Arabidopsis thaliana: one gene and its partners. The protein of the gene in region 2 interacts with the protein of the main gene of each other region in a pairwise test. Each region holds a gene or a part of one and is shown on either strand. Other genes may lie near its edges.

Region 1 (4,043 bases), on a different chromosome or scaffold from region 2:
TCATCATACTAAAACAAAGAACCATTTTCAGTGGTGCGATGATTCTGTTGCCTAGAGAGGAGCTCTTCGTGACTATGATCCCTGGTGAAATTTCATCCATCACAGTCTCTCTAATTCTGGACCAATAAGCATGGTTTCGAAAGCAAAGATACCTATCCAGGTCTATTGTCTAATGGTTATGTTGGTTTCTTTGAAAAGGCTCTCACAGCTCACAATATGTTTAACGTGTTCGTTTAAAGTCATTGTATTGACCATTGCATACATAGAGATAGAGCCGAACTTTGTATGATCCTTAGCAATGTGAGAGGCTTGTTTTCCTTATGGTTCATGACTATTATGGTTTATCTTCTGCTCTTGCTCTCTGATTCTCGAGTTTGATGTGAGATTCTTGAAACATTATGATGCTAGAACAGTGTCGGTTCATCGTTCAGTTCTGGTAACAGGTTCAAGTCTCAGGAACTCTTGCTGAAGAAGTCTAAAGACATGACACAGTTGGTCTGTCAGCCTTTGGTGATGAAGTACCCATACAGTTGTAAAATAAAAAGCCCACTGGTATATAATATTTGACCGGTTTAGTGTAATCAGGATCCGGTTTAGTTGAAATAGGTCATTTTGCGACGAAAATAGGTTAAGTTTAGTTATGATAGGTTCGAAAGTCGAAACTGAAGAAGGCTTCTCTCCTAACTACCGATAGAACAAATGAAGTTGATTATTGGCTTTCTTTCCCAACTAACTCTCTGTTTTATTTTATTTTCCTACTAAACTTTACCAGCAATTATTTTGGTTTTTGCTTACAGATTTTTTTTTTTTGAAGAAATGTTCTAATTAGTCCCACGGAACATTCAATGTAACTGATTCTGTTTTTAGTCCTGAATGTCCGAAACCTATAAAGTTCCGTTTTGGACAAGAGAGACGTGCTTGGAGACCAAATATTTGACCACCTTTTTTATTTGTTTACGACTAAAATGATTGACCACATGAGAATAAAATTTTTGCTAATATATTTCATCACTTGATTCAATTGTATACACCTTCTATTTTATTTACAGTTTATAAGAAAATACCCATTGTAAAATTGCAAAGAAAAAGTTAGTTGTATTGTCTCCACTTTGGACGATATATTCCTAATTAAGGCTTAGAAAAAACGTTGATTAGGTCTGAAAATATTTATCTTTAATTATTATGGACGATATTTGATACATGAAATAAATTTTTGTCAGTGTAGGATATCGATATTTATTATATGTGAATACGTAGCTTGCCAAGATTACAGAAACGTAGATGAGTATTGGTGGCTTGAAGTAGCGGGTGTAGGTTAGAACTTAGAAACAACAAACCTTAAATTAATACTATACGAAGAGACGTTGAGAGGCTAACGAAATCCTGCCCACACCAAGCAATCTCTAGTCTATGCTCTTATTTTCTACGATATTATATATTCTATAATTATTATAACTAAATAAAATCCTAGTTGTAAAATAAAGGAAAGAAAAAGGTAGATTACGTAGAAGGGGGTGTTTTGTTGGTTAGGGAAGACGTTGGCATCAGTCGCCGGTAGAGAGGTCCGTCCAAACCCTCCCGACTCTCTAACGGATTTTGTTTTATTTTATTTTAATTTTCATCATATAAAATGTATATATATATATATATATATATATTTTCTTTTGGTAAAGACATAAAATGTATATTAGACGAAAAAAAAGAAGAAGACATAAAATGTATATTATATATATACTCGCAATAATATAGACTATGTATATATATACGTGCAGGTGCTCTTCAGCTTTCTTCTTGTTCCCACATACCCATCTTCCCCAACCTTTTCCCAAGAAAAAAAAAACTTAGGGTTTTAATTTCTTATATATGTACATAAAATACATGAACACAACAAATTTTTTGCGTGCGTTATTGATATAGAATCTGTGTGTTTTTCTTTTTCTTTGTTCTTGTATTGGTTTGGATCGGTATACTTAGTTAATTACGTAATTAAATAGATCGGCGTGAAGAAGAAAAATGATCATGTGCAGCCGAGGCCATTGGAGACCAGCTGAAGACGAGAAGCTCAAGGATCTTGTCGAACAATACGGTCCTCACAATTGGAACGCCATTGCTCTCAAGCTTCCTGGTCGCTCTGGTAATTGATATCTTCTAGGGTTTGTCCATATATACAAAACTAGCTAGGGTTAATTTTGATACTTTGATATATATATACATATGAATTAATTGTATTGGTGTATATATGCAGGTAAGAGTTGTAGATTGAGATGGTTTAATCAATTGGATCCAAGGATCAACCGAAACCCTTTCACGGAAGAAGAAGAAGAAAGACTTTTAGCGGCTCATCGGATCCATGGGAACAGATGGTCCATCATCGCAAGGCTTTTCCCTGGAAGAACTGATAACGCCGTCAAGAACCATTGGCACGTCATCATGGCTCGTCGCACACGCCAAACCTCTAAGCCTCGTCTTCTTCCCTCGACGACTTCGTCTTCTTCTTTAATGGCGAGTGAACAAATCATGATGAGTTCTGGTGGTTATAATCATAATTATAGTTCCGATGATCGGAAGAAAATATTTCCAGCAGACTTTATAAATTTCCCTTACAAATTCTCTCATATCAATCATCTTCACTTCCTAAAGGAGTTTTTCACCGGAAAGATCGCTTTAAATCACAAAGGTAAACTCAAAATGATGGAGAAGGATCCATTTTCTATAGATGTGTTTGCATGTATATGAGTCTTGCACGGATTATTGATGAAAAAGGTATATATGTTCCAAAATTTTGAAATGAAGTTTAGCCGAATTTTTTTACTTTTCAAAGAGTTTAGCCGACTTTTTCATTTGCATAATCATTTTTCTAATGAACTTCAAAATTATGTGACAAAATTAGTTGCATGTTTTTTCTTGTACTCATCATCATATATTGTTTCCGTCATTACATGAAGTCATCTCTATATATTTAACATAGTTGCAATCCACATAGCTTATAATTTCGTCCTTCTTTTATCGTTTGGATCGCAGCAAATCAGAGTAAAAAGCCTATGGAGTTCTACAATTTTCTACAAGTAAACACAGATTCAAACAAGAGCGAGATTATAGATCAAGATTCAGGTCAAAGCAAACGCAGTGACTCGGACACCAAACATGAAAGTCATGTTCCATTCTTCGACTTTTTATCCGTTGGAAACTCTGCCTCCTAGGATTAGTTTTTTTGCAGTAACTCCTAAATTTCTAGATTAACTATTTAGTCCGTATACGTACGAGATTATCTAGGTCGTTAGCATGTATGCTTGATGTGTATAATCACTAACTAGTGAGCTATTACCTGCGAAAATTGTAAGAAAAATACATAATGTTGATGTATCACACATTCTCAATGTCTGTAAAATTTCCATCGAGTTGTTAACTATCAAAGTTATCCGTTTGAATGTATTTGTTTAATTTGTCTTGAATGAGATGAATAACATGTTTAAATGTTTAATTCTGTTACCAACAATTTAATTATATATATATAACGATTAATTGCTAGTTTGTTTCTTATTAAATTTGTATCATATTTATTCAACGTTCAAACAAATCACCGTTCAATTGTTTATGCATAACCCGATCATGAACTCGACCTCGAGAGGCCACAATATTATCAAAATTTGAAAGTATATATGTACAGTTGAAATCTTATATCGTTGAGATTATAACATGAAAAAAATCCAATGTTTGATGAAGAAGCAAAAGGTGTTGGAAAACTCTTTTTACTTCTTACTTTCCTTAATCGTTTTCTTACAACAACACAACCATTATGTAGTTCTTGTACTTAATCTAATTAGAAATTTGTTAATAACCAAGACCCACCCTTAATTGGGCCTTGTTCACCTCTGGGCCCAATGGCCTTTTTCTCTCTTTTCCTTCACTCTTCTTCTTCTTCTTCTTCTTCTTCTTCTTCTTCTTCTTCTTCTTCTTCCTCGTGCATACCTTGCTGTAGTTCCCTCTTTTCCTTCACTTGCTCCCTCATAGTTCGAACCCGTGCATACCTTTTAATTTCTGTT
Region 2 (2,833 bases):
TCATGCTTTAGAATACGGCTTTAGCTATTAGTTTTGCAACATATTCTGTGTTTGATTCTTTTATGGTGTGTACATGTCTGACAAAGATTGCTTTGTCTCTGAACAGGTGAAGTTGCAGTTCTTGTTGAAAGTAAGGTTTAAGCACAAGAGATGAGCCTGAACCAAACAAGAAGACGTCACTTCTGTTAACTAAATGTTTTTTTGGGAAATCGAATCCAACACGAAGACTTAACTTTTGTAACTAAATGTCTTTTGATAAATCGAATCCAACATGTAGTCACAGATTTAACTCTCTGGCGTTGTAGATGTTTCTGGTTTTAAAACAGCGTACACTACATTTTGTTATGCTTTTTCTCAGTAATGACACTTCTTAAGACTTGACACTTGTTCAGATCTGATGTTGTACCTATGAAAGATCATCGAAGAAGTGGTTATTCTCAAAGAGAAAATGGTTGCATGATTCGATCTCTACTATGAAAAATGTCGAAAAGTCGATACAATAGAAAGATTGTAAGGTTCCATCTCTGACAAAGTAGTCACTTGTACTCAAACAGACCAAGGAAAATTGACCTCCTGGTAGTAATTAAGTGATTCATTTGAGCTACAAGGAGACTCATTATGATCCATGGACCGCTCATTGTCGCGTGTAGTACCACTCATTGGGTCGAAGTCTGAGTCCAAGATTCCTTGGTGAAACCAATTGTGAAGATCTTGTGGCATTTGTTGAGCAAGAACCTTTTCTTGTTGCTTCATATTACAACCAGGATCATCTTGAGGGAACCTTCTCGAAGCTTCTTCTCTAAGTAGAACCACTTGTGCTTGTAAACTAACAACCTTAAGAACAAAGTCAGTGAAGTTACTTGTAAGTACACTAGAGATGATGAAGCAAAAGCAAAAAAAAATTATGTATACATTTCCGAAGAAAAAGTATAATACCTGTTGTTGGAGGGAGAAGATTTGGGAGACGCAGCCGTAAATAGGATCATGGAGACGAGAGTGAGCCTCGTAAGAGATGGTTCGTACGGCGTCACATCGGTCATGATCAGGGAGATGAGAAATGAGCTTAGAGAAGTTGCTAGCTCCAAACACTTTGTGAATGGCTGCAAAATTAGAAGATCCTTCTTCGTAGCAAAAGTATGGTGCAAATACACAACCCTCTACACATTTCCTACGCAAGAACTTGCATCCTCCACATGGTGAGCCTAAACCTCCCATTCTCAAAACGTAATTATAATCTATTGATATTAACCAACTATTACTATCTTGTAGGAATATTAATACTTCATTACTTATACTCTTCTAGTGACGATTATATAGTGCACGAGTGTTTATGGTAAAGGACTAAGGTGGGATTTATGATAACTCAACTTGTTATTTTACATATTTGTCTCTCTAATGGCTTACAATTACAAGATTGCAGCTTTTATATTTTCCCTCAAGTTTATATTGTAAAACATCTCTCTAATATTCAATAACTCGTTGTAATATATTATTGAGATTAAACTCTTAAGGTGGAGAATATTCTTAAGAAAATATTGAGAGAACCATATTAATATTAAGATCCGATCAAATGAGAGATTTGGTTGACGTATAGGACAAAACAATGAGTAAACATGAACCAAACCCAAGTTGCTTTTTGTTGTGGTTTTAGCTTTTTTTTAATTCATAACTAATTTACTCTCTTATTTTATTTAGAAAAATAAATTAGAGTTTACTTTTAGTGTTTGTTTAGTTGAAAATTTACATGTACTTGTGAAATTATGTTAAGATTGTTGTCATTATTGCTTAATTTGGAAAACAATAGTTTAAGATTTAACAATGCTCAACATATACACCACATAAGTGATTGAGATGTGTGTAGAATAAGAACAAAGGCATTTGATATTAGTAGTATATGAGACAAGTTATTTCTATATCTCGATTTAAATATTTTAAAATGCTCTCAGTTTCGATCAAACTTTACAGACTAGAAAAATAGAGAGACCCATGATTATCCAGCCCACATATTAATCATGAATCATGATTAACATCAAAAATATTCCAAAATAATTGATCAAGTACAAAAGTTAAATTATTCGATAATAATGAACAACTGATAGTGGATTTATGACTTAATGTTGGTTTAGTGGAGATTAAAAATAGTAAGAAAAATTTGAGTTTGAAGCTTTATTTTTGTTTTCTTATCTATGTTAAGGATTTCGGGTGTCTTTAGATATCCTAACTTGTGCCTAGAGTTTGCGGAAAAGACGGAGTTTTGGTCAAAGAAGGACCGGGGAACAAAGAAATAACAGAACCAGTACGGCCATGGGATCGGTCTCACCAATGACTGATCTAGGACTCCTCAAACAACCCTCATAAGCCACATTGGCCGTGCCCATCAGTCAAATGCAGATCCAATATCCCTGGAGCCAACTAAATAACCCGCATCGATCAACCATCATGGTCATAGAGCCACCGATCTAGCCAACCAAACCATCCGACCAGTAGCTACATCGTTCTGCCATATCGGTCATATTTTTTTATCGATCCTAATCACAACCCATCTGATCCAGAAGCTGCATTGATCCCAACATCGGCCAATGAAACCCAAACATTATACTTACCCTTTGCAAATCCTATTCTACTGGGAAAATAATATAGTGCTCATCTTTTAATTGATGAAACCCGAACATTGCATTTTGAGAAATAGTATGCAGTCGCAAAAGCAAAAGCAAAAGCATATTCAAATGTAGAAAGAAAATATAACATCCTTGTAATTCTTTAACTAATTAGCAATCTTCAATGATTCACATCATTTTCAACAGAGTATGAAGGAGTTAACATTGCAATGAAT
Region 3 (4,735 bases), on a different chromosome or scaffold from region 2:
AATATTTCCCTTGACTCCATGCCATGAAATGAAACCTATTTTCTTTGTTGTTCTCCGATTCTTTATAGTTTTCAGTCATATTTGGTGATCAAATTAACTGACTTTAGTGCCATAGAGTCTTCAGAAAAATTTATTGGTGTTTCCATGCATGCTTCTACACATTAGTTTCTTTTTGCAGGAGATTTGGACCCCACACAAAGTATTTTCACTACAAACACTATTCTTTCTCATTATTTTCCAACTTTTTCTGAATTGATCATAGGATTTTTGGTAAGCAACTTCCCTTCATATAGTAATTCTAACCACACGCAAAATTATTAAACCAAATTTCCGCAAGAAGATCATAAAAAACTGAATAAACAATTTAAACAAACATTGATGTACGAAGATAACATTTCTATCATATATGGTTTATATATAATAACCTACTAAAACAGCCAGGGATTGAAATTAAGCTCACTAGTTTTTATTTTCTTCACATAAAAAAAAAAACAAAATCACTATATCGGCAAGTTAAGTTTTCAATCATTAAAACCTAAAACTAACCACCCAACCCACCAATGATTAAAACTATATCCCAGTCCCAACTAATCACAAATTTAAGGTAAAGTGTGTTTGAATCATTTTTTAAGAATTTTAGACAAGCTTTTTCATTATTATCTTCCTTTTAGATAACTTACACATTTATATTAGCTTAATATTTTGTTTGTTTTAGTTTTTAGCTAAACCATATCATTCATGTAGAGAGAACCACCCTAACTGTTATGATCTATTCGACTCGTATTAATTCTCATCAATATAGCAAAATATTAGGATTGATCGATCCACATATTTCAGTTCACCCACTTTAATATATTTCAAAGACAGTTTGTAAACATTTATTACGGTTTTCGTAGATCTTGAGTATTTGAATAAATAATGATATGATTCTTTGTATCTTGTACAGTTGCTTATTTGAGTAGACATTAATTACAAATCAAATCTGTTAGCATAAAATATACATATATCGCCGTTTTTCTTCATTTGTAGGAAACCAAATAAAGAATAAAAGGCATATGGCACTGATGGACTAAACTGGCATAACTATGCTACGTGTTTAATTGGTACAAGTCGCTCAACCTGAGGAATCGAGAAGTTGTAGATGATCACTATGTGACATGTGTTGCACCGAAAAAGAGTGACTAGTGACGATTGACGATTCGTCAACCTTTTTCTCCGAAGATATCTCCAACGTTATGGTTAATCCCATGATTTGGTTTAAGTATACTTACCGTTCAGGTTTTATAGAAAATACTACTCGAGATTTGGAACGATCAGTAAATGTTATTCCAGATTTAATATAGTAGAAATTGTTTGTTTTCACTTTTCAAAAAGATGGTTTTCAAAATTTAATTCTTTTTAAAAATAAGAAAATTGATATAAACCTTTTCAATATTGTTACATTTATAGTCATTGTTTTGACATTAATGTTTTCATATTGAAAGCAAAAGGAAACAAGATGCAATATTTCGTATATCATGAGTTTTTCATTTTCTATAATATTTGATGAATTAGTCCAGAACCAGCCTGATCCTTGTAGTTCACATGGTTTGAGAGATCAGCTCCGGCTCATGGGTTCAAATTCAAGCAAGGAGAAGAAGAAAGGAGTTAAGACACAAGAGCCTAGCTAAACGACTATCGTCATGAACCCAAAACCGGATGCGGTTTAACAAAAACCGAAGGCGTCTCCACGTGGACAACAACTTAACACCTGAGCCTAACACGCGAATACATCGAAACACCGACACGTGTTCTGTCTTCCTCGTAAGCTTCTTTATGTTCAAAGTGTTCTCTCTTTCTCTCGGCCCCATGTATATAAAGCGGTGCTCTCTTGATCCACCGAAACGAATTTTGAAAAGATGACTGAAATCTACAGAACAATTTCAACCGGACGTGGAGACGACGTTTCTCCGACTAAATGCCGTGAACGTCGTCGTCGGAGAATTGAGATGCGGAGACAAGCGGCGGTTTTCGGCGAACCTAGTTCGTCTAGGAATCGTGATCGGACGGACATGGAAGTTTACTCAAGTTTTGACGTTCCATTGAGGAAACAAGCTCGGAGGTCAGAGATCGGTGGTCTTCCGGCGGATATCGGGGGCTTTTTGGCACCTCCGGCGGCATCTTCTTGCCAAAAATCGGAAGCGCCGGTGTGGAAGGGAGAAGAAACGGAGGATGAGCCGTTGTACGGTATAGTTTCGGTTATGGGAAGATCTCGTAAGATGGAGGATTCGGTTACTGTTAAACCGAATTTGTGCAAACCGGAAGTTAACCGGCAAAGACCGGTTCATTTCTTTGCGGTATACGATGGCCACGGCGGTTCTCAGGTAAGAAAATTAACCAGGGGTGGTTTGGTCATTTAATATAAAGATGCTGATGTGATGCGTGGACAGGTGTCAACATTGTGCAGCACGACTATGCACACGTTTGTCAAGGAGGAGCTAGAGCAAAACCTCGAAGAGGAGGAAGAAGGAAGCGAAAACGATGTCGTGGAGAGGAAATGGCGGGGCGTGATGAAACGGAGTTTCAAGAGGATGGATGAGATGGCAACGAGTACATGCGTGTGTGGGACTAGTGTGCCGTTGTGTAACTGTGATCCGAGGGAGGCTGCGATTTCGGGTTCAACGGCGGTCACTGCGGTTTTGACGCACGATCATATTATTGTAGCCAATACTGGTGACTCACGTGCGGTGTTGTGTCGAAATGGAATGGCTATTCCTCTGAGTAACGATCACAAGGTGGTGTTCTTGTAAAGGTTTGAGAATATTGGAGTTTCTATTTTGAAGTTGTTGAGTTTTTTGCAGCCGGATAGACCAGACGAGCGTGCGAGGATTGAAGCAGCTGGTGGTCGAGTTTTAGTAGTGGATGGAGCTAGAGTTGAAGGAATTCTAGCCACGTCCAGAGCCATAGGTATACCTTTCTCAATTCTCATATTGTAGTAAAAGATGATTTTAGTTGATAGTGTTGAAGATGGCAAGGAACTAGAGCCTATAAGGGCAATAATAATCATTTCGGATTTGGGGTTTAGGGTTTTAAGTTTACTAACTAAGGTACTATGGATTGGTTTCATTTGGTGCGAGTTCTTTTGTTGATTAATTCTAATTCTATTTTCAAAGATGTTTTATAATTGTTCCTTTAAAAAAAAAATATGTAAATTTTACTCTCTTTTTTTTGTCAAAATGTTAACTAGAAATTTTACATTGGTCCTAATAGTTTAACATTTGACAAAAAAAAAAAAAAACAAAAAAAATTATATTTGCAGCATTAACTAGAAAACAAAAATAATTGAATCATTTTACGAAAATAAAAAATGTGGGCATTCATACAAACCATCTCATGGATTAGAACGGGAGAAGTATTTTTCTTAACTTCAAAAGTATTTAAATGTGTCTTATCTTTGTATCTTTCATTGTTTGATCATTTAACCAACTTAAAATTTATTTCGGTTATACAATTTATTAGACTAAACATGAAGTTTTAGTATGGAAATTGTTCCTAATGTTGTGTTACAATTCATGGAGCAGGGGACAGGTATCTAAAACCAATGGTAGCATGGGAACCAGAAGTAACATTCATGAGAAGGGAATCTGGAGATGAATGCTTAGTATTAGCAAGCGATGGGCTTTGGGATGTACTCTCGAGTCAGCTAGCTTGTGACATAGCTAGGTTTTGTCTCCGCGAAGAAACTCCCTCGAGCCTTGATTTAAATAGAATGGCTCAAGAAGACGACAATGACGGAGAACAAAATCCTTCAAGGAGTGTATTGGCTGCAACGTTGCTAACGCGGTTGGCTTTGGGTAGACAAAGCAGTGATAATATAAGTGTGGTCGTCATTGATCTCAAGAATAGCTCTCAGTAAAACTAGTTTTGGATCCTTTTTTTGGTGGTTGTGCAATTAAGTGGTTAAACCAAAGAATAAGATGTTGATATAGCGATGAGCCTTAATTAGTTTTAGGGTTTAGCGCCCGTCTTTGTTTTGTTATGAATTGGGGTTACCAATACACATTAACACCGGCGAATGTGAAAGGAAAAGAGAGTTGTTTGGATATGGGCTACAAGGTTATTTAGTGGTTTGGCCATGGGCTATTAAGGGTATTTAGTGGTTTAAACAATAAAATAAAAGTTAACTTGAGAGAATTTGTTCTCTAATTTTGTTTGTTGTATGTGTGTGATCATTTTGAAGTTATTGATCGTTTAGCTATTTAGGTGGTATGTGTGAAATAAATAGATAAAATAAAAACGTAGTACTGCTTTGGTTTTGTTCGTTGTAGTTCATTAGACGCCGGTCTTGGTCTTTTATATTTTTTTGATGGACTGATCATTTCCAATGGTTAAAGTCATCTCTGTCTACAAATACTTACATTTTGGTACAACCTGAATGAAGTGAATTTAAGGCTGAGATTTTGAACCAGCCCTAACCCTACTCAACCGTGCAGTTTTATATTTGGTTCAACAATGCTATATAGGCTTTTGGGCCAATTACCAGATTGTCTTTACTCTTTAGGCTTTAAAGGAAAAAAAAAAGAGATGTGCAAAAGAATCAAAGAGAACAATTCAAGAAAGAGAGACAAAAAGACAACTCTTATAGTTCGATGGAAATGGAACAATTCGAACAGGTTTGACGAATACAGAGTTTTGGTCCTAAATAAAAGGGAGATCAAGAATCAAGAATTGTCTTTGAAGTAAAACAAAAAGCGTG

What was found.
Region 1: the proteins of LBD14 (region 2) and MYB54 interact in binary tests that used the Arabidopsis thaliana proteins (3 or more experiments, as listed by UniProt).
Region 3: the proteins of LBD14 (region 2) and AHG1 interact in binary tests that used the Arabidopsis thaliana proteins (3 or more experiments, as listed by UniProt).

The regions. Positions count from the first base shown.
Region 1 is NC_003070.9:27,599,839-27,603,881, forward strand, and holds MYB54 (myb domain protein 54), read left to right. Parts: upstream 1-1,754; 5' UTR 1,755-2,013; coding exon 2,014-2,134; intron 2,135-2,245; coding exon 2,246-2,677; coding exon of another isoform or gene 2,678-2,736; exon of another isoform or gene 2,737-3,021; coding exon 3,022-3,200; 3' UTR 3,201-3,479; downstream 3,480-4,043. UniProt on the Arabidopsis thaliana protein: Transcription factor that regulates secondary cell wall (SCW) biosynthesis, especially in interfascicular and xylary fibers.
Region 2 is NC_003071.7:13,351,367-13,354,199, reverse strand, and holds LBD14 (LOB domain-containing protein 14), read right to left. Parts: upstream 1,284-2,833; 5' UTR 1,216-1,283; coding exon 937-1,215; intron 835-936; coding exon 547-834; 3' UTR 528-546; downstream 1-527. Other genes in the region: PARP1 (poly(ADP-ribose) polymerase 2), read left to right, coding at 107-154.
Region 3 is NC_003076.8:21,025,018-21,029,752, forward strand, and holds AHG1 (Protein phosphatase 2C family protein), read left to right. Parts: upstream 1-1,857; 5' UTR 1,858-1,898; coding exon 1,899-2,363; intron 2,364-2,429; coding exon 2,430-2,774; intron 2,775-2,840; coding exon 2,841-2,946; intron 2,947-3,560; coding exon 3,561-3,895; 3' UTR 3,896-4,171; downstream 4,172-4,735. UniProt on the Arabidopsis thaliana protein: Negative regulator of abscisic acid (ABA) responses during seed germination.